2 linked regions of the Coturnix japonica genome follow. The protein of the gene in region 1 interacts with the protein of each later gene in a pairwise test. Links are inferred from orthologs where the notes say so. Each region holds a gene or a part of one and is shown in the gene's direction. Other genes may lie near its edges. The genes, in order: MAPK14 and DUSP1.

What was found.
Region 2: the proteins of MAPK14 (region 1) and DUSP1 interact in binary tests that used the Homo sapiens proteins (3 or more experiments, as listed by UniProt). The link is inferred for Coturnix japonica from reciprocal best matches to the Homo sapiens genes MAPK14 and DUSP1.

The regions. Positions count from the first base shown.
Region 1 is NC_029541.1:513,883-529,336, forward strand, and holds the start of MAPK14 (mitogen-activated protein kinase 14), read left to right. Parts: upstream 1-7,902; 5' UTR 7,903-8,031; coding exon 8,032-8,147; intron 8,148-14,568; coding exon 14,569-14,698; intron 14,699-15,454. Other genes in the region: SLC26A8 (testis anion transporter 1), read right to left, coding at 421-585, 1,084-1,256, 2,435-2,551, 2,904-3,043, 5,684-5,853. UniProt on the Homo sapiens protein: Serine/threonine kinase which acts as an essential component of the MAP kinase signal transduction pathway.
Region 2 is NC_029528.1:10,946,386-10,961,708, reverse strand, and holds DUSP1 (dual specificity protein phosphatase 1), read left to right. Parts: upstream 1-8,401; 5' UTR 8,402-8,542; coding exon 8,543-8,912; intron 8,913-9,032; coding exon 9,033-9,181; intron 9,182-9,289; coding exon 9,290-9,509; intron 9,510-10,018; coding exon 10,019-10,389; 3' UTR 10,390-11,055; downstream 11,056-15,323. UniProt on the Homo sapiens protein: Dual specificity phosphatase that dephosphorylates MAP kinase MAPK1/ERK2 on both 'Thr-183' and 'Tyr-185', regulating its activity during the meiotic cell cycle.

The DNA.
Region 1 (15,454 bases):
CTAATTGTCTATCTTTTCATAAGAAAACTAGGAAGACTTATTTTTAACTTATCTTTATGTAGGAGTCTGCTGCATATTTGTCAGATACATCAAAGATACCGTGTGCCCAACAGTTTACCCACAATGATCCATAGAGGAAAAATGTACCTCTTTCTCTAACCTTTGTGCCATGCTGAAAATGACAGAGCTACATAAAGTAATTAAAAATACTCCCTTTTCCTCTTGCATGTCACACAAAAATCTCTGCTCGTCATTCAAGGCACCAGAGAGGCAAAGTAAACCACAGCTGAGACTTGCAGAAATACCCCTTAGCAGCTGACATTGAAATTATGTTCAATTTTTGTTACTGTTCTTTTGTTTATCCCACGAGAAGTATGCATTTATTTTTATTTTATTTTAACTAATAATGAATTTACTCACACAGAAAATGTCTCGAGAGCCCTTATGGAAGTCAAGCACAACGTCAAAGATAAAAGTGAACTGTGATACAATGACAAGCAATGCTGCTGCAGAGAGGTAAGCATCAATGAGAGCCTTTGGCAAGTATGCTGTTACAGACTTCAGGCAGAAGCAGCCTAGCAGCAACTGTATGGAACAAATAAGAAGTGAGGTGTGATGTAATTGTCTATGCCTAACCTGCCTTTCTTGTTTCCATATTTGAAGAGCATGACTTTTCACTGCCACACTTGACGGATAGTTATTTGAACAAGCTATATTCATTATGCACAATTAAATAGGATGCTGCCAAACTAAAATAGGAGCACTTCACATCAAGTGTGTGCAGTTACGCAGGACTACTTAAGAGTCTACACACTGGAGAATTGGTTAGTATAAAAGACAAAAGTAATTTACTTTATGCACTGCTATATTCATCATGAACACATCAATCTAACCTACACCATGTTTTTCAGACATCATGGGAGGAAGAGGCAGACCTTCACATTCTATTTTGTACAACATATGTATTCAAATTTGCTGAGCTTAGAACTTGTAAGAAATGAGACTGCTTGCATGTTCTCACATTTGTACAAAGATACACATAAGGATACATAAGTAAGGATTTAACACAGATTCATCTTTTACCTGAATTATGCCAGTCATAAATGTTATTGATGCAGCGAGTGTCAAGGTCTCCATGTAACCTTTCAAAAGTGTAGGGTCTGAAAAATTGACCAGTGAACTGTTAAAGGAGGTTTGGTTGAGAGCAAGGGACGTGAGAATATTTTTCACCACCAGATTTAGGATGCTGAATGAGCCTGAAAGCAATAGAACAGAGTGGAAAGAATGTAAGCACATGAGGTGTTGCAACAAGGATTTATCTTAAAACTACACATCCGTCTCTATGCCCTACCATCAATCCTGCAGTATGAGACGATTTATTTTCATTTAGATATATAATCTATTTTTACTGTTTCTGAATAAGCATCAAAAGCTTCTAAAGTTCCATCTGAAAATTTCAGACTCCTACAATTTTACAAGCAGTCTTTGTTTGGTCAGAGGCTCAAAAGAGAAAAAAGATTTTAATGTAAAGCACAGAAATGAATGGGCTGCAGTGAACTGCCAGAAAGTCCATGAAATAAGGTTTATCTGAGAAAGAACTACCAAGTTATCTGAGAGGCCAGAGCTACATAGATCCACTTGTATGAAGATGATAAGGGCCTTCTCACATAATAATCTAGTTTCTGAACAAATTAAGAACATAAAGCCATCAACAGCTCAGTCATGGCAAGGAACTGCATGACGCCTGGGGAAAACCAGAAGCTAAATCTTGATTCATGGTCACAGTCTGAGGGCAAGTAAGAAGCAGCTTGCTCTGGCCCCTTATGCAGAAGATGCTTCTGTGATGTGCCAGCTGCCCACTTTGCACTGCTGTCTGTGACAAAGGAGCTGTGGCAGCCCGTACCTTCAGGGGCAGAGGTGGAACAACGAATTTTGAATCTGGAAGTCTGGATTCTCCCCTAAATAACACTTGCACCTGAAATGCTTTTCGAAGCAGCACTGAACACAATCTCTAACTCCTGTAGAAACATTTAGCAATACAGAATAAACCTTGTTGGCACTCAGTCGAGTTAGAGAGATCTCTTAGTTTCTTGTAGCATTAGAATCGTTCTCCTTTCTTGTGTTCAACATACACCTTATATACTGCTCACTTCAAACAAGAAAACCCCATTCCTTTAACAGTTCTACTGATCAGTTAACTGGTCCTATCTTCTCCTAAACAAGTGATAAAGTAAGAAAGGCTTCTTAAAAGTAACAGAATTAACAATGCATATCAAAACAACCTCCTGTCTACCCTTGGATGCAAACAGACACTGCTTGCTCTTTGTCTCACACTCCAGTCTTCCAGGATTTCACAGTAACAGGGTCTATCAAAGAGTCTGATAAACTCTTTGGTGACTCACTCACAGTTACATCTTCCCCCACAAAACCTTACCAATTGAGATGTGATGTGAACTTCCAAATACAACATACAGCATTGAGCAGCAGAATGCAGAAAGGAAGCCATTGATTGCTGGCAGAGGTAACCCGGACAGCCAAATTCCTAACAGCCCTAGAAAGCAAAAAACTGACAGATTTTGCAAGGTGCATTTTAAAGATCGCTATTTTTTTTTTGCAACACAGGAGAACGCTGCTGTTAGTCTATATTTATATGCTTATATTACTTTATGAAACTTTATGAAAAAAGGCAGTGTCTTGTCCTCAAAATTACACCATATAACATTTGATTATAGAATATGTTTTCTTGCAAGTATGGAAATTAATAAGTTAATGATTTAAGGAACTTTAACTCACAAGTTCCCGCATAATCCAATGACACCTGAAGGAACAGGATAACACACACATTATGAAAAGGATGATGTACAAAAGGAAGCAGGAATGTTTTTTCTTTTCTCTCCTCCTACCTTGAGGAACCTGAACCAACCCAACATTTAGGCCTGCATGGAGGTCCTTCAAGATCCATTCTCTGAACTGATAGGAAAAAAGCCAATTCAGGACAGGGAACCTCTTGTATATGATCTTTTTGAAACTTTCCCAGGAGAACCTGAAAAGAATCAGATAAGAGCTATACGCAAAGTCTTCCATGACCACCACGTCTGCAGCCCTTTTGCATGACCTCATACTCTGCAGGAATAGAAGCCACACTGCTACTCTCAGATCTCTGCAAGCACCATATACTCTGAACCCACATTGCCTTCTGCAGATCCAGCTGGTGCATAACATGAGTCCCATACAGGCAGCCCTGTGCCTTTGCATTCCTTTCAGATGAATAGCAAATACTTTGTGTGCCATTCATATGATACCCCGTCAGCAGCAGAGCACAGAGCACTGAATGCATCAATTACTTGACCTCATTAACACACTGCAGAAAATCGGGAGACAGTATTTTGATACCTCCTATCCTAATCTAGAAGAAAAACATACAGGTGCTACATCTGGAGGGTAAAAAATAAAATAAAAACAAGCCTATTCCATCTCCAAAAAAGCAAAATGTTTCCTGTATTACACTTAACATGGAAGTGCAAGCAGGACCTGACCTACATGATTTTTCTGCCTATATGTCTTTGAATCAGTATTTCCAGCAGGTAAACTCTGAGCGGCCCTAAAGCCCTGTGCTCCCCTTTCCCTGTTTTAATCCCCTGACCATAGTGGTGATCTTCTTACAACCCAAACATACGCAGTGCAGCACCTGCCAGATTCTTCTGGCAACCCTAAACAGTGGCTGAGGAGCCCCGATTAGCATTACAGAGACCAGTCCCTTTCCATCATTTTATTGACAATCAAACCCCCCCAAAGGTCCATCCCATTGGCTGCTAGACAGGCAGGATCTGCTCCAGGGTGGTTTTGGAGGATGGGGGGATCCTGTCAGGGAATTTGACCTCAATTCAATGATGAGATCTCTGTGCTGCTCGGGGCTTTTAGGGTATGGGAGCCCCTCACCAGGGATGCGCTGTTTGACACTGGGTTTCAGAACGTGCCAGGATGACCAGTGGATACAAAATAGAGAACAGAGAAAATACATGAGATAGGGAAGTGGAAAAGAAATAGAGAAAGGAGTATGAGGAAACAAGAAAGATACAAGTCTAAAATGGGAATTAAGGGAGGGCATATTTTCTGATTAAGCAGCAAGTGTAGTGATAAAGATTCCAATAATATTAGCCATGACTTTAAAGCAGAATTCTCCCTTTTTTAAAGCAGAATTCTCCCTTTGACCTCTGCATAAGACCTATTTTATTGCACAGGGAATCTGTGAGTGGCAGTCTTAATTCTAGATCACATATCATCATTATGCACAATTCAAGCCTTTCTGTTAAGTAATTTTGTTCCTCTGACTCCAATCTCCTTTTAGCACTAGAAAGAAAAATACCTACTGCACAGTCCAAAGGATCTCACAATTGCAGAAATTAATCAACAATGAGTCTTCAAGGTGAAATGAAAAACTATAAAGCACAGTAGTAACTCAAACTCTAGCTCCACTTGCCTTCCCTTATTACCAGGAAATTCCTTTACAACAGTGCCAGTAAAACAGGATCCATGATTTTAGGCTGCAGTCACACTCACTGCTGAGCTGGTGTAAGAACTAGTTAGACAAAAGAGGGAGGTCTGGCTCTCCTGAGTTGCTTTTCCTCCTGTGTCCTGTCCCATCTGGCAGCTGCAAGCTGTTAGATTAGTTCACCACGCCTTGGGAACCTCACCCATAGCTAGACTCGAGTCTCAAGGCATGTCACTGCCCCAAAATAACAGTTTGAGTTTCAGTATACATTCAGAATACATGCTGAAACAAAGCTTAGAGAAATGATGAATCAGAGATATTTTTTTTTTTACTTTCTTAAGAGGACTCTGTAGTGTAGACACAGCTATAACCACTGACAGCCCACTCCACATCCAAAGAGATTCTTTCAGAAAACCAAAAGCATTCATGGTCAAATAAAACTAAAAGGAAAGCTGATGAAAGGGCTTCCTAGTTTTGATTATATTTGCCTTGCTGAAAGAACACCAGGAATTCTCCTAAGTTGTCAACAAAGACTGCCTTCTACTGAGCCTGCAGGGCTCCTCTGGCAGAAGATACGCTTCTGTCCCGAGGATAATGCCCAAAAGAGAATTTTGGGAATTTTGGCAGATGGAAAAATCAGGCTGTGGAAACATTAACACTGTATAGGCAGTAACATTTGCATCACCCATTCTCTTCAAAGAATTCAGAAACATAGCTCCAAAATAATCCACAAGCAGTTCAGCCAATCTTAGTCATACCATTATGCAACTTTCCACGTCCCCAGCTGAGAAGGAACAGAAAACTGCTCTTGAAATTTGAGAAACAAAACTATCAAAAGGCAGAATTCAGAAAAAATGCAAGTGAAAGCTTGTGTCCGACAGCTGGGCTGAGGGAAGCACTGGAGGGGACTGCAAATATTAACAGCTTCTCCTTACAATGTATATATCCCTCACGCTATCATAGACCTGAAGTGAACACTCCTACAGATTGCTAAACTAGGGGGGAGTGGAGTGCTGTTCTTGCACACTTCACCATTTCTCCAATGGGCTGTTCTGCTTCAGTTATCAATCAACAAAATTCAGCATGTTAATTACAAGCTGCAGGAAGACATTAGCATCTTCCCACATTTGGGCTTGAAGAGCCTCCTCAGTTTTTTTTTTACACCTGTCAAACTCCTAGCACATAACTCACCTGCAACGTAGCTGTGTCTTCTTTTCAGGGATTTGTGGCTCTCCACCATTGGTAGAAAGTAGGTCTCTTTCCAAGAGTTCCTGTAAGTGCCCTTCAGTTTGCACTCTTCTTTGGACTCTGTAAACTGCTGGTTGCTTCCTGGTACTAGCTGTATCATTTTCCAGTTCCATATTTTCTTTTTGATGAGGAATATCAAATACTGGAGACAACAATTAAACCTCTCATTCTTGGCAGTGAGACTGGAAGAAATAGACAAGGTGTCTGAAATACCTATTAAAACCAAAACCAATAAAAAGCACATGACATCTGTCCATCCCAACATAACTCCTGTGAAGCCAACAGCTACAGCAAGGACAAGGCTCTGAAGACTAACATCCTTGGAAGATCTGCTGCTGTTAGGATCAAGCCAACTGGCTGCCAGAACACTGCATCCTTCTGAAATTTGCCTTGATTCTATCTTGTAGGAAAGATCGAAAGATCAGACTGGATCCCCTCCATCATGGGATCCCCAAAGCATGTCTGTGTTAAAGGAAGAAAATACAGCATCCCTCCATAAACCTATCACAGCTGAGAAACAGTTTGAACTCTCCTTGTTTCCAGTGCTGGAAGAAAAAAGGCTTAGATTGAATCGTACAGCTAAACTAGAGGCCATACAATGCCAGTTTGCAGTACAAAATTGCTATCTGACACCATTCAGGTTTTTAAATGCCCCAAACCTTTATTTCACATTCCTTAGCATTTTAACATCAGGAAGATCTGAATTCAGTCACTACTGCTCAGATTAGGTAAGATGTAAGTTCCCAAAGTGAATATTGAGTAAGAAGTCCAGTGAAAGAGCAGATCTAATCCAAAGTTCTCATACTGACAGCTGAGGTAGAAAGAAAACTCAAATCCAGAGTTACCAACTGAAAGTACAGAGACAGCATAGGAAAAAGGCCATGCCATGCAGAAAGGCAGTTTTTAGCTATTGACAGAGGGAAAAAAAGGAAAATGAGAAGCATGAAAAGGCAGTAAGTGAGCAGAAAGTCATCAAAACGCAGTATAAGTAACAAAACCTGGAGGGAAATAAATAAATATGTTTCCTGAATGGTTGGGATCCCTTTGTACAAGTCTGGCGTTTCACATCACTGAGATACACCACTTCTAATAGAGGAGCCTGGCAGCCTCCAGGCACAGCCACCAGCACACACAGCCCAGTCATTCTAACAGCAGCAGGCAGCCCGCAGGCACGTTCGATTCCTAGTGAATGGTTTGTTCCTCTTTTTAAAAAGGAGATACACAAAGGCCTTCCAGAGTTTAAGAGACGTTTTGTTCATGAGCTCTGCACACCCAGTACAAGCTGCTGTTTGAGCAAAATCACCTTTTTTCAAGTGAAGGTAACACAACAAAAAAAGTTAAAAAGAAACTTGAGTTCCAGCTGTACCAGCTCAGCTCCCCAAGCTCTGTGAGACCCCCAGAGGGAACGGGGCTTGGCCTTACTGAGGGCTGTGGCAGTTCAGCCCAGGCCTGCTGCCTTAGGTCATCGTTCTCATCAATGTGCATATTTTGCTTAAAGTACAGCGTCAAGGTGACAAGACAAAGCCTCGCGAAAACGGCACACGGACTGTGGCGCCGTGACATCTCCCTGCGTGAGCACAACCCCCTCACACACCGCACTCGTGGAACACTTGAACGCAGCGAGCCCGCCTCTCGCCTCGGCCCGTTCTCGCGAGAGCCCCTCCGCGCCGCTCCGCATTGCCTCCATATTGGGGCATCTCTGCCCACGGCGCCTCAACTCTCGCGAGAACGTCTGGACTGAACCCTAGGGCCGCAGTGGGGAGCGGGGAGGCGGAGCGGCCGGGTCGGCCCAGCCCGAGCTGCTCCGCTGGGGGCGGGACGGGGCCGGGGCCTCGTCTTTGCCGTCCTACCTGCGGCCGAGTGCCTCCCCCCGGCCTTCCCTATCGGCCGATCCCTCCCTCACCTGACAGGGCAACCCACCCCTCGCCGTGCGGAGGGAGAGAGAAAGGGAGAGCTGTGTGTGCGGGGAGGGGGAGGCGGCGGCTGAGAGGAGGGGACCGGGGAAGGAGCAACCGCCCCGCGCGAGGGCTGGGCCCGGGCAACGTGAGGCGGGGGGGCGCGGGGCGGCGGCCAACGGTCGGTGTGAGGAGAGGGCGGTGTGAAGGGGCGGCGTGGGAGGAGCGAGGCGGGGAGAAGGGAGGAAGGAAGAAGGGAGGGGAGGAGGAAGGAAGGAAGGAGGGAGGGAGGGAAGGAGGGAGGGAGCTCTGCTGCTGCAGCTGGAGGTGCTGCCGCAGCCGCGGGCACCGCCGCCCCCTCCCGCCGGGCCGGGCGGGGTGGGCTCCGCAGCCGAGATGTCTCAGGAGCGGCCCAAGTTTTACCGCCAGGAGCTCAACAAGACGGTGTGGGAGGTGCCCGAGCGCTACCAAAACCTCTCCCCGGTCGGGTCCGGGGCCTACGGCTCCGTCTGGTGAGTGGCGGCTGGGGGTGACTCCGGGCCGGGTTCTTCCCCGGGCACCGCTCGGCCCCGGGCGCCGCTCCGCGCCGTTCTCCCTCCGCCGCAGCCGGCAGCCCCGAGCATTGCAGCATAGGGCAGGTGGCACCGGGACATTTTTGCAGGGGAAGATAATCGCGTCCCAGCCCCCGGCGTGATCTCATTTGGGCATATTTCGCGGTGCCTTCTCGCAGTTGGGAGGTGGGGGTGGAGAGGATGCGGGCTGGCAAGGCCCCGAGCTCCGCAGAGCTCTGCTGGCTCAGTTTCCTTCTCGACCCGGAGGATGGATTATGAGCCGGGGGCTGCAGGGAGCTGCTGCGTCCCCGACGCCTGGCAGGGGCTGCAAGAGCCATTTTAGCGGCTGTGTGCGGTGAGCGCGGCGTGCGCTGCCTGCAGGAGCAAAGCCTGGGGTCAGCGTGCGGGAATAAGGAGAGCTCGGAGCTGTGCTCGGTTTTTAATGCTTGCCTCGTTGCATCGCGTGCACCGCTTGGGATTTCTCTGCAAAAATGTATTGGATCGTGAAATGTAAATCAGTGGGGCTGATGACATCGCTTAATCGTAAAGATGAGGTTGTGTCTGGATTGACGTTCCGACTTGAGCAGTCGCTTAGAGGTTTATATAGCAGCATAGGCTGCTAAACGATGTTTTTTGCTCTGTCAGTGTGATCCGAGTTCTCATACGGGTGTGTAACAACTGTACATCTGTTCTGCTTCTGTCTCGGAGCAGGCGTGCCTATTTTTTTCGTTAACATAATGTACAAGTTTATACCATGACTGTCATTTATATTTTAAGGAGCAATGCATGCTGACCTCTATCAGAAAAAGGAGTTGCTTTGTGTGTGCTGCAGTTTTAAAGAAGTCAAGTTCTCTCCTGTTCTGCTGTCAGGAACCTCTGCTGAAATAACACGTTTCTTAAAACTGCCGTGTCCCAAGTATGTAAATGCTTGTATGTCATAGAAGACAGAGCCTAACCAGTTACAGTACCACGGGTAGCCAGTATATCTTCTGATTTAGTCAGTTTTTTAATAATTAAAGGGTTTAGTTCTGGTGAAAGAAAGGGCTCAGTGCCCCAGCTGATAAATGCCCCTTTAGCTGCTGTGGTTACATAACTCCCTCGGTGCAATAGGAAGTGGATTTACTCCATATCTGCTGTATTCAGGCCGGCCTTATGCAGTGCATGCAGCCCGTTCCTCTTCTGTTCTCCACCTACCCATGGTCTGTTGTGTACTTAATGCTTCCAATGTTTGTTTTCACAACCAATTACTGAAGACTTTGCATCATGAATTTCCTGTAATGCTGCCTCCGAACTTTCAAAGATTGTGCAACTGTGTTCGGCCTGGATGGATCAGCTCTGCTTTGGAAGCAATTTCAGATGTACGGCATGTGCATCTTAGCATAGCTTTTTTCAGGGTTTTCTTTGTGTCCTACCAAAAACATCTTTCTGAAGAAGTACTGCTCAGACAGACAAGTAATAGTGTGCATGTATAATTAACTTCGTAATGTAAAGCTCCAGACAGTGATGTGTGGCATTGAGGGCATTCCTAGCATGGCTTGTTCCACTCTTTTCCTTTAGAGAGATTCTTCCCTCTTCCTTCTCCTGCTCTGGGAAGATGTTCCTGTCTTTGTTTCAGACTTGGAGTTTGAAGTGCCCTCTGTTTTGGGACAGCGAACTGCAGGGCTTTAATCAGCCTTAAACAGAGTGCATAAATACACTCCTGTATGTCTACAGCACTGTTAGATTAGAACATAATGATACACTTTATTTAGGTGTCCAGATGAGAGATATAAAAAGGGGGACTTTCTAGAAAGTGGAGGAAAAATTAACAAAAGAATTAAGCCTGCAAATGAATCAATTAGACTGTGCAGTGTCTGCTGCAGTCTGCTTTAAATGTCCATCTCAACTTGGAGCACCGTGGTAGAAAGTCCTGACTGAAGTTTTTGCAGTCAGTGGATGGAGAATGTTGTTCTATGCAGGCAGCCAGAGCGTGTCCTTAGTGTTGGAGTAAGTGTTCTTGTGTCTTCTGGTGCACGGTGAGGATGTTCAAACAGCCAGCTCAGGTATTTTTCAGTTTTTTTGTTTTGTTTTTTTTTAACTGAAAATATGTGGAAATTAAAGTAGGGCTTTGGTGCTAAAATGCCGAGAAATGTCTATATGGACTCTCAGATCATTCATCACTAAGCCATGTTAACAATTGCAGTGACATCTGTTGTGTGAAGTGATAATGCCTTCTTGCCGGAGTTTTGCGTATTCATCTAAGTCTTCTGCATTACAAGAATTCTGTCTAAATCAGTAACAAGGTCTGCACTAAAACATGCGGGTTACTGAAATGTCAGTCCTGCATACTGTGTGTGAGAGAGGGGTTGGTGCAGCATCTTGCAGTGGGAGCTGCTGGGCTGCCTGGGATGGGTGAGCAGTGAGTTGTGGTTCAGCAGGGGGTTGGCAGCTGCTGGTGTCTGCAGGCAGCATTAGTTCACCCTTTGTAAGCAAATGGGTGCTCTGATGCTTGTTGCAATTAGCTTATAAAATGTGAAGGCAAATTTGGTGTGCTCCAAGCAGTTTATTTTATTGATTTTTATTTTTATTTTATTTTTTAATTTGTTTCCCCAACAGTTATTTCTGTACAATAACGTTTTAGCTTTGCAGACTCTGCTGTTTCTTTTGGAGAGGAAACTGCTAAGTCTTACGTAATCTTGCATAAGGGTCCTTCAGCTTCTCCTGTTTGCAGGCTGTCAGGCTACAGAGTTGTTAGAAAACTGAGGGATCTGCTCCTCCCCTCCATAGTTGTACCAACACTGACTGAATGTCCTGGGTGTGATGAAGCTACTGAGGTGATTCCCCTGCTTAAAAGCTGACAGAAGAATGCAATGGGTTTCAGACATCTTAAACCATCAACCACGAGGCATTGAAATAAACCTAAATATCACCTTTTTGGCAGCAGTTCCTCTGTGTACCTGTTTTTGTCCAGTGTGTGTCCTTAGGCTTAGTAATCAATTATTAAGATGTGCAATGCCTCTGTGCACAGGAGGGGTACCAGCTTCTCCAGCCAGGTGTGCAAAAAGAATTGCCGCATTGTGAGTGGGAGGGAGCAGCCACACAGGTGTCAGAACATGGGAAAGGAAGGAAGGTCAGCCAGCAGCGGGCATGCATAGAAAAGCAGGAAGCAAAGCTTGGAAGGGAAGGCTGCTGGAAACTTGGTGTGTTAAGAAATGAAATGAGGGTGAGCTTGTGTTTCCTACAGGGAGTTTTGTATTGCAAAATTTATGGAAGGAGAATCTAAAACAGCAGAGGGGGATTTATAACTTCATATCATTTGAAGTTGAGGGTGAATTACAGAAATACATGTGCAGAGTCATCTCAGAAGTCTCTGGTTTTACTGATAAACTAACAGGTGTGAAGAACTGTGCTTTTCTGTCTGTAATGGGGATGCATGAATGAACTCCAGGGGTACCACTGAAATGGTTCTGTGAGCACATCTTTACACTGACACTAGCCGTGAGCAGCATGCTGCTTAACAAAATAACCTTCACGCTGAAATGATTATTCTGGTTATCGAACATCTTGGTACCTTGGATTCTTAAGTAATTTTGCGTGTACTTACAGTTCTCAGACTATTGCAAATGTTATATCTAAGATATAAACTGAATCGCTGGTTCTCTAATTCTTATTCTGTCTCTTATTCTCTGGATTTGCTCAGGTTAACTCAGGGTTGCAGTTGTAGGTCATTTAGGGGCTGTTCATGTGCTGTGTAATGAGTTATAAAACATGGAAGATGTGATTTTGGATTCATGTTGATCTTGTTTTAGAAGAGATTTGGATTTGTGGATCTTGCAGTTTTTTCCCAGTTGGTCTTTTGTAGCTGAAGTACAATGGGTGTAATGCAGCTGTTTTAAAAGCGTGGTGCAGCTGTGATGAAAAGCAGCTTCGGGTTTTGTAAAGTGCTTTCCCAGCTGACAGCTGTTGCATAGCTCTGTGTTCTGTACTTGTTAAAACCATGCCTGGATCTGTAGGGAAGCGGGTTTTAGGCCTCAAATATGACCAAGCATAGAATTCTTTTGACTTGAAGAGTAACTCTAGATTGTGAATGTGCACCAATGTGATATTTTCTCTCCTGAGCTTGTGTACAGTGTCACTGTGCTGGCTGAATAGTTTTCAGCTCTGCTGGCTGCAGTTCTTCTTGCAGATTAGAAATCTTCTGCAGCAGACCAGTAACTTGTTATGATCCCCATAACAAGTCCTTATGTCCTTGGAAAATCAGATGAAACAAAATTTCCCTTGGTCTCTCAAGAGTTGGCATTACAACTGGTGGTTCTGAAATATTCTCTAAAAAGAATAAGGTGGAAATTGGGAGGGAAATTTGGCTGTAGAGGTGGTAGCTGTGGGGATGAGCAGGAGATCCCTTCTTTGCGAGATGAAAAAAGGATGGAGCACGTTGCCTTTTGCACCTGAGGCACTTGGCAGCTGGTTGAGATTCGTGACTAATTCACAACAGCCTGGACTGAATGAAGGTGGCTGACCTTACTTTTGTGCTGAACCCAGAAAACACCTTGAGTATTGTCATCCAGTTGGTGTGAATTAGATACAACTGCATATTGCAAAGCAGTGTATGTGGAACTTTATCTAAAAAAAACAGTGTTCTGTATTCTCAAGCTGTAGTATCTGAAGTACTCATTTGTACTGATTTGTGGAAACTTAATGTAGATCATTTGAAAGCAAGATTAGAAGATGAGCATGTAATTGTATTTTCCATATGTGCAGGCTGGGTGAGGTGATTACTAATGGGCATTCTTGTAGACGATATGGAGCAGCTCCAGTAATTCAGCTATGGCAATTTGGTGCTCCTGTGATCTTCCTTCTAGCTCCATCTTCATATCTCTTCCCAAAAATTCCTTGTGCGGTGTGTACAGGTATCTCTTACACAGAAGGAGATGCCCTTTTCTGTCCCACGTGGAGGTTTTCCCATTCCCTTGCAGGATTTTAGGGAGGGGTTGCTGTTGGTAGAAGCAAATTTGTGTTTCATTTTCTATCCTTAGTTCTTGTAATGAGAATACAACAAGTTCCTTGGAAACTGCAACTTTGAGATAAGTTGTATTTCTGCAAGTGAATTGATATTAATTTCTTTTCAGTTAGCTTTTTTTTTTTTTTTTTTTTTTGTCTGTGCAATTGTGAGTTTGTTCTAGAACTGCTTTTGTGATTGGTTTTGGGCTTGCTAGCTGAACTGCTTTGCATTTTGTGCTTGTAGATTTCCTTTCCTTGTAAGCTTTCCTTGTCCCTCCCTGCTGATCAAAGGCGCTGTGCATTGGGAGCCTGCCCTGTGTCGGGCTGCAGGAGACTCAACAGATGTTGTTCTTCTCCAACTTTCTCACTTCTACCCTTTCCCCACGTTTGTGATCTTGGATCAACATAACCTCAATTTCACATCCTCTTTCTGCTCCTCCTTCCTTTTTGACAAACCAGAGCTAGTTTCAGATAACAGCATTGAAGACAAGAAGAGCAGTTTGATTGCCAGCTAAGTGCCTGCTTTTACTTAGGTCTCTAAATACGCAGCCCTGAGCTCTGGAAGGTTCTGTGCAGCAAATCAGGATTGTCAGCTTTCTTCTAGTGCTTAAAGCTTTCATTGTTTCACAAGTATTGGGCTTTACTTCTGAATTTTGTCAGACGTTGGAGTACAAAGCAATTACGTGGAGGCATAACAAGTTATCACATCATTGGCATTAGGTTTTATGTGTTATAAGGGTTACTATTTTAATGTTTCTGAAAAGTTTAGTAATGTGCAGTGAAGTTTCACTTGTGCATCTGTGTTTTTTTGTAGCAAGCACTCAGGATTGGGTGTGATATGCCTGTGAGGTTTGATTTCACCTTCAGGTGAGATGAACGCCCATCATCAGTGACTGTTCCTAGCAGCAGGCATGGATTTTTGTATGGGCTTAAAGCCATGAAAGATGGCATCTCGAGCACAGCAGATAATGTTGTAATGAAGTGTACTTTTGCAAATAGGTTTAAGAATACGAGTAGCATTTACAAGTATTCTTCCTCTCTCCAGAGTTTCATTGCCTTGTTTACATTTGAAATGGTAACTGTGTTCTAGGCAGAAGAATCATAATCATTTTTAACTTTTCTTTCTGCAAAATTACTTTTTGAAGATACTATTTTCCCCTAAGTAGGTGAACAACATTCATCTTAGAAACGCTATCAGTAAAACCCAGCATTTATATCTGTGTGTGGGAATTTGCAGCCAGGTTGCAGGCCAGGAAGCCTGGATGTTATTGGTGGTGGAGAGGGAGAAATGGAATCGGCTGTGTGACTCAGTGCCTGCGCAGCCTCTATTTGTAGTTGCTAAATGGATTTGAGGGTGTTTATAAGTGATTCATTTTGACTATTTGATTACTCTTTGTTGTAGTTCTGCCTTTGACACAAAAACTGGGTTGCGAGTGGCTGTAAAGAAGCTGTCCCGACCATTTCAGTCTATCATCCATGCCAAAAGGACCTACCGAGAGCTACGGCTACTGAAGCACATGAAACATGAAAATGTAAGTAGAAGGAGATTATATGAGAAGCTGGGCTACCTGGTGTGATTGCATTCCAGGCTGATTGCACAGGTTTTTCAGATAGTAAGTACATAGCTTGCAGTAGACAGTGAATCGTGATGGAAGGCTTTCTTTCTTGCTTTGTGTCATCATGTCAGAAAGGGTTGGAGCAGTTGTTCACTAGATTCCTGTAGATGAACAGGAATAAAAAAGGGGAGGGGAAGATATCAGACATCTGTTCTTGTAAGCCATCCATTTCAACAACACAGACCATGAATGCTTATACTAAGCTATGCTATATGCTGTCTAATCATTTTTTTCTGTTTAACTTCCATTTGCTGTGGAAACCACTTGAGCAGTTCTTTGTGTTTGTGGCATTAACACACTGGTATATTTATATCGCATGCTGTTCAGAGAAAATATTGCCTGCAATTGAGCAAAAATTATCTTGCCTTCTTTAGAGCTGTCAACATCAAGAGAAAAGGAAGGCTCTTAATTTTTGTACAAGTGAACTCCAATGTAGCAGAAGGGAAATACTGATTTAGAAGTGGACTGAGCAAGCCTAGTGTTTTTAACGCAACAAGCAAGCCCAATTTTGATGGGAGCTTCTCCCTGAATGGTCGGATCAGAACTTCTTTTGTGGCAGTGGTGGTTTTGTGCCGTGGCTTCTTTCTGCCACAGCAAGCAGATGGTATTGCTTGAATCTTGTTTGTGTTGACAGTGTGGCTGATGTAATTGGACCTTTTGGTGCACGCGCAG
Region 2 (15,323 bases), on another chromosome or scaffold:
TTTCTGTGTAATCCTGAGCTGGCTTGTACGTATGCCCAGGGAGGTGGTACAGTCACCATCCCTGGAGGTTCTCAAGGCCTATGGAGATGTGGCACTGAGGGACGTGGTCAGAGGGCACAGGGGGATGGGTTGGATCTGATGATCTTTGAGGTCTTTTCCAACATTAAAGATTCTGTGATTCTTTATCAGCATTCTCTTCTCTGCTGCTCTGGTGATGGAGATGCAGCCCTGTGGTCCCCACAGTGCCCTGATGGCTTTGTGTGGTGCTCGGATGGGCCCCAGGAGAGCTGCACACGCTACAGCCAGGAAAGAATCTGGCTTCAGCAGCAGTTCAGCATATTGTCAATGACACGCTGCAACCAAAAGTCATCGGCATCAGCTTCATGTGCCATCCTCCTATTTCTAAGTAAAAGACAGATCATGGAGTCCTTGGGGAGAAGGGTTGTGAGTAATAGAAATGGCACGGGGCCTGAGCCCAGCCAGCATGCCAAACAATATTCCAAGAAAACAGTTCCAAGTTACAGAAGTTGTGTAACAGTGATTATTATTTTTAAGGCGCAGAAAACGAAGACCAAGTTTCTAAAAAAGCAAACACATATTTTTAGCCTTGCTGGTCTCTTGATCTTACACTAATGGGAACCATCTGCGCGGGGACTGGCTGACGTCCCTGGTAAATAACATTGCTCTGCAACGTTCCAGATGTTCTGAAGGCTTCTTTGCAAAGCAGCGTTTGTCTCTCTGCCCGTCACTCTCGCTTTCTGCCTTTCCTGTCCATGTTTACTTCAGTAATATACATTCTTTCATTAAGAGTTTATGTTAAAAATAGCTTGTCAGAATTTTGGCTAATCTTTGTTATGATTCTTGCTTGCTAGCAGAGATTGAAAGCTGTAGTTCCTTAGTGTTAAATCTTGAAGGCTAAACTGGGGTTGTGGAAAGGAACTTAGAAGATTCGGACAAGAAAACACACTAAAAATATTTGGAGATGGATTTCTACCTAATTGTGATCCCTCTGAGGGTTCCAGCTATCAAACAGATACATTTATTTTGGTATCGAGAGTTTTAACATGACAAACTGTAATGGAATACACAGATGTACTTTATAGCAACCAGGCGCTTCCTGCAAAACCTTTGCAACTCGTTATGTAAAAGAATCCTGTGGTCTGCTTTGCTGCCTCTGCTGTGCTATGTGCGGGAGGTGCTGCCTTCACTATGGAATGGAACATCCCCACACCAGGGCTCTTCTATCCCAGCTGAGCCCGGCTGTACCATAGGGGTGAGAGGAAAACAACAGGATTTAAACCACAGTTAATCTATCTGTTATCTCTGCCATAGCCTGCCTGAAATCTCCTGTGTCGCAGCTTCATTAACACTGTACCTTGGGCTCAGACATGAGTAGACCAGAAGAGCCCTGTTTCCAGTGTTAAACCTCCCACTCAGGCCTGTCCCACAATGTACCCCAGCCCATGGTGCTGTGATGATGCTTCTGCCTGGCTGCTGCACACACCAGCCCGAGCACAGTGCAGGTATGGAGATGCCCTTCTGTTCTTTTCCTACCCGTTACCAACTTTCTTCCATAACAAAGCTTCCAGAGCATGGGGGGGTTTGTGTGTGTTCTTACTGGTAATATGATTTAAATATTCTGATGATTCATTTTTGGTCCGGCGAGCTGAATCAGCCGTGTAGAGCACAACTTTCTTCTCCCAAACCACTACCTTTTCCATCCCTTCTCGTCATTTCTATATGATGATTCATGCTCCTCTTGTATTTACCAGCTGAGAATGCGCCTGATTCTTGCAGCTAATTTCACTTCTTGTTCCCCTTTTTTAACAAAAAGGAGTGTGGAGGATCGATGTCACCCACTCCACTGGGGGACCCAGAGTGTGAACTGATCCAACAGAGAGGAGAAAGAGGAGAGGACTTTGAATCATGAAATCCATCAGAGCCCACTCTGTGAGTTCAGCCCCTGACCCACATCTCATGTGCTTTCAATCAGTGTATTCAAGCGAGGGATTGTGTCAGAGGTAACTCCAGCATAGCTTGCTTTAAAGAAGCTCCTTATTCTATTTAGTTACTCAGCCCTAAGGTTTCCCAGCAAGCCCGTTAGAGCTGTGTCTCAGGCCGAGAGCTGATCATGGTTCATCTGGCTGCAGGAGAGGGCTGACTGCTCACAGCAGGAGTGCATAAGAACACGAGGAAATCTTTATGGTAGGGCTCTGGAAAACACCTGAATTTTCATCCCTGCTTTCCACTCAATGCACCTCAATAACGCACATCTCAGCACAGCTCTGAAACCCAGTGGGGGCTTTCTGATTTTGTTTCTTTTCACCCTTGTATCTCTCCCTAAGAAGTGTGTCTGTGTGAGTCCCTCCCGGGCATCGCAGCCTGGCCCAGCTGGAGTGGCACTTGGGACACTGCTCCATGACTCACTCTGCCCTATAGGTTCTCATGTACTTCTGAAAACAACACATGGGTCAGAATTTGTCTTTTTTCCACAGCCTAAAGGTTTTCACATTCAAAACAGTCAAGTGTTATTCTGTGCTATGACTAATAGTGTGTTTTCACTAACCGCTATTACACGCAAGCATCACCTCACTCTATCACATGAGAGAATCGTGTCATATTGCAAATATTCTAACAAACTGCATAGCAGAAAATGAATAAGCAGTTCTATATTTACTGATACGGGGATATTTTTTAGCAGTTACATATTAAACACCAAGAATGGCTATAAACAGTTTAGAAGCTCATTCTAAGAAAGCACAGAAAATAGAATACTGAGAGGCTCAGATGGAGCGTGTTAATGTGATGTACAGTGGCACTTCTTCATGCCTGGTTTCCTTTGTACGGTTCTGTATTTTTTATATCTTCTTACATAGTGTACTCTTAAGGCTCCGTGCAGCGTTACTCCATTGTATGAGAACACGAGAACTGTGGCCCTTTTGAAGCCTCACCTGGAGCCCTGCGTCCGGGTGTGGGGTCTTCAGTACAGGAGAGATGCAGACCTGTTGTCCAGAGGAGGGCCACAGTAATGATCCAAGGGATGGAGCACATCCCCTACCAGGACAGGCTGGGGGAGAGAAGGCTCCAGCCAGACCAGAGAGCAGCTTTTCATTACCTAAAGGGGGGACATAAGAAAGAAGAGGGCAGAGTGTTCAGCAGGGTCTGTTGTGATAGGACAAGGGGAAATGGTTTCAAACTTAAAGAAAGGGGATTTAGATTAGCTATAAGAATGACTGTTCTTTATGACAAGGGAGGTGAGGCAGTAGCACAGATTACCCAGAGGTGATGGGTGCCCTGTCCCTGCAGAGACTCAAGGTCAGACTGGAGGGGCTCTGAGTACCTGATGGAGCTGTTGGTGTCCTTGTTTATTGCAGAGAGTTGGACTAGATGGCCTTTAAGGGTCCCTTCCAACTCTATTCTATGATTCTCAGCTAATGACCCCTTTCAGTGCCATTAGTCAGGCAAAATTGGTGCTGAGAGCACACTGTGAGAGCCTACAGCTAAACCTACAGCCTTAGCCCTGAGTGTCCCAAGCTCTTCCAAGCCGCCTCTATCCACCCAACCTGCCTGTGTGCCACGCACGCTTGCAAAGCCTCCATCTCCCCATAAAGATCCCATAGATAAGAGCAGCAGAACCACCTGCCAATCGCAGAGCCTCTCAGCAGCCCTTATCGCAATCTTTATGAGAGCTGATGATTCTGGGAATTGGAAGCTCATACACAGTCACTGCGCCCACAAAACACTGACATCACATGGCAAGCAATAACCCCGCGGCTCAGCTCTGGGTAGCAGAGCACGCCTCTCCCTGCTCTCAGAGCGGGGTACGTCACTTGTTTTCTATTCAAATTCACCCTCCTCCCACGGAAGCCCTGCCTTGCAGTGCTGGCCACCAGACAATGCTGGTGAGAAAACACCCGCTCTGACAGGAGGAAGAATAATTTCCCTTAAGTGTATTTTATTATATACCTTATACCTTTCATCTCGAAATATGGGAGCCTAACAAATACGGTGATTTTATTGAATAAATACTCTTAGGCCTGGTGTGTGATTCATAGCAGATTAATAGAGGCAATTAAGTGTAAGATTAAATTGCTTAAAAACCACTTGCCCTACTAAGCTGAGCCCGGTGCTGAGGACTGTATCAGCACCACTAATTCCCAGCGATTTTCCTTTGGAAGCAGGTATTTAATGATTTGGAATATCAAACCCGTGGTATCCCAGCCTGGCTGCCTAATGCCTGTAATCATGTTAAGGCTCAGCACTAAGCAGCAACTCGCCCTGAGCGCTCCGGTGAGTCACTGGGAGAGGAGAAAGCAGAGCTCCTGCCTGGTGTCCTACAGAGCAGAGATGGTTGGTCCATAGCAGAGCACTCCATCCCTTGGCTCTCAGACCTGGAGGTGCCACGTGTTCTCTCATTCCTCAGTCATACATCTATATCCAGGACTTGTCCTCCATGACAGCACACCATCCTTCAGCACGCAGAACCCAAGGCGCTTTAAGCACAACAAACTCCGGCAAAAAGAAAAGGTTCTATTTTGGGATTTAAATGCATTAAAAATACTGTTTTCATTGTAGTGTGACTCATCGGTAATTCTATGCTGCTCATGCACAGCTTGCTGTGACCTTCCATCGCTGATCCTTCTCTTTGCCTCCTCTTTCTCTCTTTCTGTTCTTTCTCTGTCCCATCTTTCCCGTCTTCTTTTTCTTTTCCCTTCTGTTTCTTCTGAGTTTGAGCCCATGTGAAATCTGTCCAAATATTTACAAAAGGAAATGCTGGGTTGTGAAACTGAATTCGGAGAAAATGTTACACATGCAGAAGCAATGCATCCCGCACGCTTTCCAAGTGTTCCCACATGCATTTTTCTGCTCTGTCTCAAGGGCTGAGGCCGATGCTCTGCATCTCCACTGAGGCAGAACTCACACCACGGGCACTGAGGCGCAGGCTCCGGTCAGCTCCAACGGTGCCGTCATGCTGTGTTTTCTGGAATGGCTCGGGGCTGATTTTGGCCATGGGTGAGCGGTTAAAGGCCTGACCAGCCAGTTTTGCTGGGTTTATGCAATGGGCCAGTTCCTTGTTAAGGCTTATCTGTGCTTGTCACCAAGCTGCTAACAAATTGGTACTACTGTGTCGGTGCAGAAGCTGTGGGCAGCCCTCTCCTTCCCCTCGCAGCCAAATATCGGGAGATTCACAGTCCAGGAGCAAAGCCAGAGAGGTCCAGGTCCTGCTGAGACAATGACAGCACTCAGAATCACTGATGGGGCTTCCCAAGATGAGCAGAATCCCACAAGTAGAGGGTCACACTATGGGCCTCTCGTGTCATTACAGACATGTAAATATTTTGGCAGAGCAACATGGGAACTTCTTCAGCTTCTCTGAAGGAGCGATGCAGCACTAGCACAGCTGCCCAGGGAGGTGGTGCAGTCACCATCCCTGAAGGTGTTCAAGAGCTGTGGAGGTGTGGCACTGATGGACGTGGTCAGTGGGCACAGTGGGGGTGGGTTGGTGTTTGTACCTCATGATCTTTGAGGTCTTTTCCGACCTTAATGATTCTATGGGAACTGCTGAAGCCCGGGGAATAGTGGAGGCTCAGGATAACACCAATTGAGAGTCCCACTTGCTGAGAAAAAGCATTGCCTACATCCCAGCCCTGGCTCAGCCTCATGCTGCTGCTGCTATTATTACCCTCACAATAGCACTGTGGCCTGGGAGCAAACATGGATTTCTTTTGGAGGAAGGGGTTAATTTTGTGCTTCCTGGCTTTTGTTAAGACAGGAAATCAAACCCTTAAGAAAGTCCTTCAGGTCTGGCTGAGCTCGTGAAAGCTTCTTTGGTTCTGGTTTGTATTTTCCTTTCCTTCATTCTTCTGGCAGGTTTATTTAAGAAAAGAAAACAAAAATAGAGTAAAGCAAGGAAATAGCTAGTCCAGGGTTATAAGTGATTGAGTACACACTGCCACACGTGATGAATTTTCTTCCTGATTCGTGCTGGGTGTAAACAAGAGCAGACTCAAAAGACTCATGATTTAATAAGTCCATGCAAGAGTGATGGCCACTGCTGTGCACTCTCATGGAGTCAGATTCCCCTTTGCAGAGGCCACAGATGAACTCCTCCTGTGCTGACAAACAGCAGCCTGGGTACCTGGCCTGGGGTGTCTGTCCCACAGTACGTATGGTGTAAGGACGAGGTTGGTTGGCAGCACAACCAGAAGGTGGCTGACACTGATAGCACCGAGCTTTGCTGTGCAGGTGTCAGATATGGCAGCTGCTTTAAATATGGGAGTGTTAAAGTTGCCAAACGGGGGAAAAAAAATCACATTCTTTTAGTGTTCTTTTCTGTATGGGATGCTGAGAAGCTTTGGACTATTAGAGAAAGCATGGTCAGCAGCACAGGGATGCCTGCATCTGTGAGCCATGGCTGGTTTGCACCAAGAAGGCACAGCACCATTAAGGTATCAAATGCCCTCTTCAGCCCACACTCCTACTGTTCTGTTCCTTGGATCTGGGATGGATCTTAGAGATCAGTGTGATCTGGCCATGTACTGTCACAGAGATATCACATCTTTGGGAAGGTTTGCCTTGGAGCACATCGCAGGGGCACACACAGGTCCTCCCATGTCCCCATAGTGTGGAGGGATGTGTATCACCCATCGGGCTGCTCAGGTCCCACCACTCACACCCAGCAATGGGCCACCACCTCCCAGAAACCAAGCAGTGATTGTGTGGTCAGGCAAAGTCATTTCCCAGCACTGAAAGCATATGGATGTTTCTCCCACAGTCTGTTTCCAACCTGCTGTTCTTTTAACAACAATAAATAAATAGAATGAAAAGCACAATCCAGTGTTTATTTTTAAAGAATGCGTTGAAAAAACACATTTGCTTTGAGACTGCAGCTCTGGCAAGTAACACCCCGATGTTGCTCAGCAGAGCAGGGACATCTCTGCAGTAAGCAGGAGCTCAGAGCTGGTGCTCATTCACCCATATCCTTCCCTGTGTCTCCTCCTCCTGACACCCTTGGGGAGCCTGGAAAGCCCTGCAGCACTGAACCTGATGAGGTGCCGGGCTGGTTTTAGGTCAGGATGGATGAAGATTGGTGGAAACTGGTGGAGAAGCAACTGGAAAATTCGAGAAGGCTGAGAACCGACAGGCTGCAGGGCTGGGGGATGGGGAACTGTCAGGGGGGTGGGAGAGGATGGCTGGGGGATCTGGGGTGAAGAAAGGAAGTCTGAAAGGAAGTGATGAGAGAAAGCTGCTGAAAGCTAGAGATTCTGAATGGTGCGAGGAAGGAGCAACGCAGGTGGAGCAGGCGAAGAGGGATTGCTGGGAAGGGACTGGGGGAGAAGGGCTGAAGCCAGGGATGGTGCTGGCGTGTGGGGCAGGGGAGAAGTGCTGGGGAGGCAGGGGAAGTGAATGCGGCGCTGACGGGAAGCGGAAAGCAAGAAACAGCTGAGTGCTGCGGTGGAAGCTGAGCGCCCACGGGGAAAGGCAGACTTTTGGGAAGTGCTGAGACAACACCAAGGGGGGAAAAACAGAGCTCCAATGGCTTCACTGCCGGGTACTGGGCTGCCCTGACTGCTGGGGAACCTGCTGTGCGGAAAATGAACCTCCCCAGGTCTACTGCGAGATTATCCTTACATATGAAACATGAGAACAGCTCTCAGATACGTTTACATTATACATATACATGCAAATATACGCACACATGTGCATATATTGATGTGTAGATGTGTCCGTACACGCATATATGCCTATGCACAAACACCAATCCCTGTCTGTGTGCGCTTATCTCTATGTGCTGCAGGAGAACCTGTAGGACTGCTCCCACGCCTGCATCCACTCACGGTGCTGCTGTTGGACATGTGAACACACTCACATACGTGTGTGTGTGTGTATATATATCCATGGTGTGTGTGTGTGTGTTTCGTATTTATATAGCCATGGTGTGGATGTTTGGTTCTCGGATATGTATATATCCATGGTGTGTGTGTGTGTATATATATCCATGGTGTGTGTGTGTGTGTATATATCCACGGTGTGTGCCTGTATGTAGAGAAATGTGATAGCTTTGGGTATTTATATGTGTGTATAAGTGTGTTTATGCACTTGTATGTGTATATATATCCATGGTGTGTGCCTGTATGTAGAGAAATGTGATAGCTTTGGGTATTTATATGTGTGTATGTTCAGGCACGTGTAACATGTAACCCTATCTATGTGTGTATGTCTATACTCTTACACACACACAAACCAGCGCGCCCCCGCGCCTCTCAGTTCGCGCCGGCGCGCTCCCGCGCCGATGACGTCATACCGGCGGTGCCGGGGCGCGCCCTGTTTGGCGCGCCTCCAAGGTGACGTCTGCTCCCAGGATCACGTGACCCGGCCCCATTGAGAAAACGGCGGCGGCGCGGCGCGCCACGATATAAGGCGGGTGGGTTCGCACGGGGCCGCGCTGAGTCGCGTCCAGCCGCGTCTGATCCCGCTGTTCCGCGAGCTCCAGCGCTTTGTTTCCCCGCCATCCGAACCGGACGGAACCGAGCACGGGACCATGGTGAACCTACGTGTGTGTGCGCTGGAGTGCGAGGCGCTGCGGGGGCTGCTGCAGGAGCGCGCCGCTCAGTGCCTCGTCCTCGACTGCCGCTCGTTCTTCTCGTTCAACGCCGCTCACATCCGCGGCTCCTGCAACGTGCGGCTCAGCACCATCGTCCGTCGCCGCGCTAAGGGCGTGCTGGCCCTGGAGCACGTTGTACCCAACGAGGAGCTCCGCACCCGGCTGCGCCAGGGGCAGGTTCACACCGTGGTGCTGCTGGACGAGCGCAGCGCCGACCTGGAGCTGCCCAAGCGCGACAGCACGCTGCTGCTGGCCCTCGGCACGCTGTGCAGGGAGACCCGCGGTGCCCGCATCTGCTTCCTTAAGGGTGAGTGCGCGGCCCCAAAAGCCGCTGCGGGATGGGGTTGGCCGTATCGCCGGCTGAGGGCTCTGCCCGCCCCGCTCCACGCCGCGCTCACCCCGCGCCTCTCTCCCCTGTGCCCCGCAGGAGGATACGAAGCGTTCTCGGCCGCCTGCTCCGAGCTGTGCACCAAACCCGCCGCCCCTACCGGGCTCAGTCTGCCCCTGAGCGCCAGCAGCGCGCCCGGCAGCGCCGACTCGGGGTGCAGCTCCTGCGGAACCCCATTGTACGACCAGGTGAGTGCGGGATCCGGGCTGGGGCTGCCCCGCCGCTCGTGGGAGAAAGGACGGGAATCGTAAATCCGCCGAGCGATGTTAACCGGGCATCTGCCCCTTTTGTTTCAGGGCGGGCCGGTGGAGATCCTGCCGTTTCTGTACCTGGGCAGCGCGTATCACGCCTCCCGTAAGGACATGCTGGACGCGCTGGGCATCACGGCGCTAATCAACGTGTCGGCCAACTGCCCCAACCACTTCGAGGGGCACTACCAGTACAAGTGCATCCCTGTGGAAGACAACCACAAAGCCGACATAAGCTCCTGGTTTAACGAGGCGATTGATTTCATAGGTAAATGAGCTTTCCCTGCGATCCTTTTGTCTCGGATGACGTCCCTTCGGGAGTGGCTTTTAGGGCATTGTGCTCCCCAGCGCTGCCTGCGTTTGGGATCGGGGAACCTTTGTTTTAGGTGTTCTTAGGGGATGCGCCCATCACTTTCTCTGGGCTGAGAGAGGGATAATCTCAGCTTTGCCAAACCATTAGAAACCTCGAGCCAAGAGAAATGGTATCCTCTAGAAAAGTGCTAGTGAATTTAAGTGGATCAGTATTAAAGTAATCTTGCAAGACTGCTAAAGTGACCCGGAGGAGCTATTAGTATAATTGGAATTGGAGCCCAGAATGAGAATAGCTAGACTGCAGCTTCCCTCAGGACAAAGGCTCTTTGTCTCCAAAGCACAGGGCTCACCTATTGGGCTCCTAAGGAGGGGATGAAACAAAGAGATGGAAAGCAGCAGCCTTTGCTTTCCCACCTCCAGAGGCAGTGGGACTTGTTTGTTAACTGGGCGTTTTAATTCTTTCAGATTCTGTTAAAAATGATGGAGGAAGGGTATTTGTGCACTGCCAGGCTGGCATTTCCCGGTCGGCGACCATCTGCCTCGCTTATCTCATGAGGACCAACAGAGTCAAGCTGGATGAAGCCTTTGAGTTTGTGAAGCAGAGAAGGAGCATCATCTCCCCAAACTTCAGCTTCATGGGGCAGCTGCTGCAGTTTGAGTCGCAGGTTCTTGCCCCCAACTGCTCAGCAGAAGCTGGGAGCCCTGCTATGTCAGTATTGGACAGAGGAGCATCGACCACCACAGTCTTCAACTTCCCAGTCTCCATCCCTGTTCACACCTCATCCAGTGCTTTAAGCTACCTTCAGAGCCCCATCACCACCTCCCCAAGCTGCTGAAAGGCAGGCAGAAGCGTGACCAGAACTCACAATTCTTGTCTCAGAAGTGCAATAACTATGGGGACAGTATCATCAGCCACTTGTCCTGTGGGGAACCATCCACTTGTCCTAGAACGCTGTTGTACACACGAGGAGCTCAACCAGTGTTCTGTGTGTTGCTGGCTCCTGAAGCCAATATTGGGATGCCTACGCAGAGATCAGAGGATGCTGCGTTTTCCTGAGCTGTTCCCCTTGTCTTCTGTTTGTCCTAAGCCTGCTGCATGTTCAGTAGCCTGCTCACCAGTATTCCCATTCCTGGACACTTTAAGCAACACTGATGTTGTCCCCTTTCACGACAGTCCTATTTATTTATTTTTGTTAGTTCATTGTTTTGCCTTCATGAACCTGAAGTTGCATTTCTAGAGAAACCAAATACCTCAGTATTTTTTTTGGTACTGTAATCCTGTGTGTATATATCTGTCGGCTCTTCTTGTTTCCAAGCACTGACATGAAAGCACTGGGCGAGTGCTTCTTAAGTTGCCAAGGGTTGTATGTTTGATTTATTTATGATGTGAAATAATATATTTCTTCTTAGGAAGACATAGTTTTGTTACTTGATTATAATAACTTTTTATACAAACAGAATAAATTATGATATTTCTAGTGAAAGCTGGATATACTTCAGAACCTTGTGTGTTTTACTGTCCCTGAGCTTAACTTTAGAAGCTTCCGAAGGAAAGAAGTCTGAGTTTCTGATGGAGTTTGACCTCAGGCAATGTGATTAAGTGGGGTCTTAACTAGATAGGAAAAAATGAGCTTTAAAATACTCACACTTGACTAGAAAGTTCTGCTGTTCTCTAGCCTGAGCCCTTTGTCCTTGTATAATTACATGCCATGGCAGACAGCTGGGGCCAGATCTCAGCTGTGGGGTGGCTTTGGCTGTGGTGGTGGCTGCAGAGCTGTAAGAGTTGGAACCAGCTGAGCATGGACTGCAGTGGGTTTAAAGGAGTCCTCTCCTGGGAAGGAAGAAGCTTCCTTATTGCTTCTTTGAAGGTTAAGTCTAAAAATGAGCCTGTTGCCAACTGATCTCCAGCATGTATGAGGGTTGTGCCAGGGTGTTTTCTTTTTCTGTCTTGCCTCTTAATTCCTTTTTGCAACCCAAACTCCTTCTGATCCCTACAGTGAGTTATTTGGCTTACTGTACCATCTGTAAATAAACCAGGGCATAACAACAGATCAGGTAACCTGCAGTCACCTAATTTTGTACCCAGACTGGAATAAACTCTTTTGCTACAGCTTCCCCACTGGGCTGACTTTCACCCAGTGCTTAAGTCGAGGCAACGTGAGGAGTTGTATCCAGTATAACCAAAGCTGGGTGAGCGCTGCTGGCAGCAGCTGTGGGGTGCCAGCCAGTAGTGCAGGGCAGCTGCTATGGGTTGGGTGTGATACTGTTGTTGTATGACGTGTTGGGGAGAGCAGTGCTGCTGTGACATGTCTTACCAGAGAAAGCTGGGCAGCTGGAGGCTTGCTTTCTTAGCGTGTGGTGATGGCAGTGCCAGCTGTTGGCATGTAGGAGAGCTCTGGGATGCTGGGTGCTCTGTCTCTGCCCGGGGGAGCATCAGTCTTCCCATGTCTGAAATTCAAGAGTTGGTGCTACACTTGCCCCATCAAAAGTGGATTTGCTGAGGCAAACAACAGAGGGTTATGATTCGTTGTGTCAATTCAAGGCGGCTTAGTATTTACAATCCAAAGTCCAAGCTTATAGGTAGGGGTTGTTAAGCACAAGGCAGCTGCAGTCTGATCGTATAACTGAGGATGCACTCAGCGCAGCTCCTGCTGAAACCCTGCACGTTACCTGGAGCACTGACAGTGCTAAATCCACGAGCCTTCTTAGAGGAGAAGGTGCCCTTGAAGGCTGGGCTGCTGTGAGGCACTGCTGTGTTGAAAGCGCAGCCACATGCGCAGCTCTGTCGTCAGCAGCCGCTGGCAGCCAGCAAGCTCCAGCCTGACACTGAGGATAGAGCACCCAGAGCAGGCAAAGGGGAGCAAGGAATGCTCCACAGGCACCAGGAGCTGAAGAAAAGAAAGTTATCTTTGCAGTGTGAAGAACCTCAAAGTATGTTGTCCTCCCAGGTCTCTCCCACCCTGCAAAGCTCTTTCCTTCCCCCTCACCTGCCAGGTGAGCTGCTCCATGGGTCTGTGCTCCCAGTAAGATGCACAAGGCTGTATCTGAAAACATGAGCCTTTCTGCACCTGTGGAACAAGCTTTCACCTTCAAAGCAAAGCAGGGTTTGTTCAGTGGAAAAATACAACCTTGGCAGCCCTGGCAGCGCAACTGATAAAAAGTCCTGCCTGTTAATCACAGTTCAAACAGAAATCCGCTCCCCGTCAGCTGGGGGAGCTTGTTTATGTGTTTCTTGGAACAATAAAACTCATTACCTGGCAGCAGATCAGCTTTTCTAACCTAAGCAGGCACCTGATGGGGGCAGAGCTGTGGCAGCACAAAGCACAGCCCTGTACCAGCTGGAGGTGCAGCCCCCCACCTCAGTGCAACATTCCTGGGCTGTGCAGTGACCTCCTGCTGCCCCCCCAGCACCGTGATGCCCCCAGTTCCTGCAGACTGTTTGTGGATGGGACCATGGCTGGAGCCCAAACTGTTCCTGGCTGGCACAGGTGAAGGATAAGGGGGGAACAGCAGGCAAAAGAAGGAGAGTGGCAGCTCTGCACCGGTGCCATAGCACTGGGGGAGATAGATGGATGGATGTGGCTAAACTGAACTCCCTGTGAATATGCTGGAGGGATCTTTTCCATTTTCTTTCCCTTATTTATTCACCTTGTGTGGTCTTTACAGCTTGGAATTTCCATTTCCCTGTCTCTCTGCATGCCGGTAGTACTCAGCTGAGCTCCTGCTCTTCTCTCCATCCCAAGACCCCCCAGGAACTGAGCACACAACAAGAGCGTGTAGAGTTTCAGCTTATGTAAAGCTGTCATTATACAGTTGCTTATGTCCCCATGGAAACCACGAGGAGTTTCCCTTCATTGGGGATGGTGCTAACATCACTTCCTGCTGCTGACAAACCAATTTGTCACAAAGTGATAGAAAAGCACACTCTGTAGTTGCAGGAACTGGCTCTGGGCTTTGTTCCTCCCAGGCCAGAGCTGGTGGTTGTCCCTGAAGGCAAGCAGCAGCCAGCAGGCACAGACAGAACCTCAGTGTCAGTGCAGCAAGGACAGCCCCACACAGCCGTCCCATACACCATATCCCACCAGCACAGACCCATGGATGGTCCCAATGACCCAGGGGTAGCACAGGACCCCTGTAGGGACACAGCACGTAACACCCCCAGTAAAAAGCAGGAGTAGGGGATGCAGAGTGCCCGGTTATCTCATGACAAACAGACAGAGCTCCAGATTAGAGTGCTGGGGTAATCCCCTTGTCTCAGGGCTTTTGCCTTTCTGTTGTAATCAGCACTGTGAAAGACGCTGGGTGAGCTGAAGCTTAGGGACTATCCTGCATTAGTCACCCTACAGTCAGAACAGCAGGGCCACAAGGCTATGTTATGCATTTAGGTTGAAGAAGAACATTACATCCTGATCTCCACAGGCAAATCTAGTTCACCTGCTTAGCACCTGTTTTTCTTTTTCACCATCTGGCTCCAGGGCAGTAGAAAGGACACTGCGAGTCAATTGGAAATTGCATCTCAGTGCAATCCTGGCTTCCCCAAATCCACTCCAATCCAAGGCTCAAGGGAGGTCAGGGAAACAGTTAAAGCCCAGGCTCAAACTCACTGATGCTGAAAGAACAAACGATCTGAGCTCTGAGCTGCGTGCAGACACGTGTGACCTCCCCTCTACGTGCTCTTTGCTTTGTGCAGAGCACAGCCAAGAACAGGTGGGCACAGTTAGCACCCACTGGGGGTAAGTGGGACCAAGGTCTTAAAGGAGGGAAAGAGAGGTAGGGCCTGGTGCTCTGCTGAGTTATGTGGCATTGCTGTAAGGCTGTCAGCCTGGCCAGGGAGCACCAGGGGATCTGGTTCAGCTCTCTGTCCTGTTTTTGCTCAGGCTGAGGCCATGCAGTGCTGAAGGCAATACCTGTGGGACAGCCCTGGTACCCAGGAGGAGGGGGCACGGTTACTCTGCCACTGGAGTGAGTAAATAATTCCTATTCTGAGAGCTATTCCCCATGCTGGGATTGTGGTTCCCAGGGTTTCCAGCTACTGTGGGGCTGAGGATCCCGTCTGTGGGACGGTGTGTGCCCCCAGCTCTATGAGCACCCACGGCACAGCCAGGACATGGCACAGTCCATTGGATGAGGCCAAGCCCAGGATGCTGCCGGGCCGGGGGTTTCCTGCACAGCGTGCTCAAGGTCCCACGTTTGCGTGTTTCCTGTGCGAGGCAGAAATGAGTCGCTCTGGGCTTCCCCTCCCTGGTGCTGCTGGGAGGCAGATGAGTGGGTGCGATGAGACACCCGGCACAACCTGCAGGTGACTTCCAGCTCCCCTTCCACTGCTATCACCCTGCTGGGGGCAGCCCTGCCCTCTGTGCAATGCTGGAGTTGGAAGAGCTGAGGGCATTCAGCAGAGCCAAAAGAGGGGATGCTCGTGTACACTGTGTGGAGATGGGGATGGAGCATGGATGTTAACATCCCCATTGCATTTCCCTGGCTGACTCAGGGCTTGCTGTGTGCTCTGGGTGGATGACTGAGGTCTGTGGGACCGGCCACTTCAACAGCTGGTTTGTTCCAAAATCCATGCAGGGACTATCCCAAGTGCCACAGAAAATGCTTCATTTCTCAAAAACTGGTTGTGTGTGACACCAATCCCCCTCATTTCAGTACCTTTTGGTTCCCAAACCGTAGGGCATACTTAAAAATAAAGTCCCTGAGGGCTCTGATATGATGTAGTCACTGTCTAACTCAGTAACCACTTGTCTACAAATAGGGATACTTGAGAAGT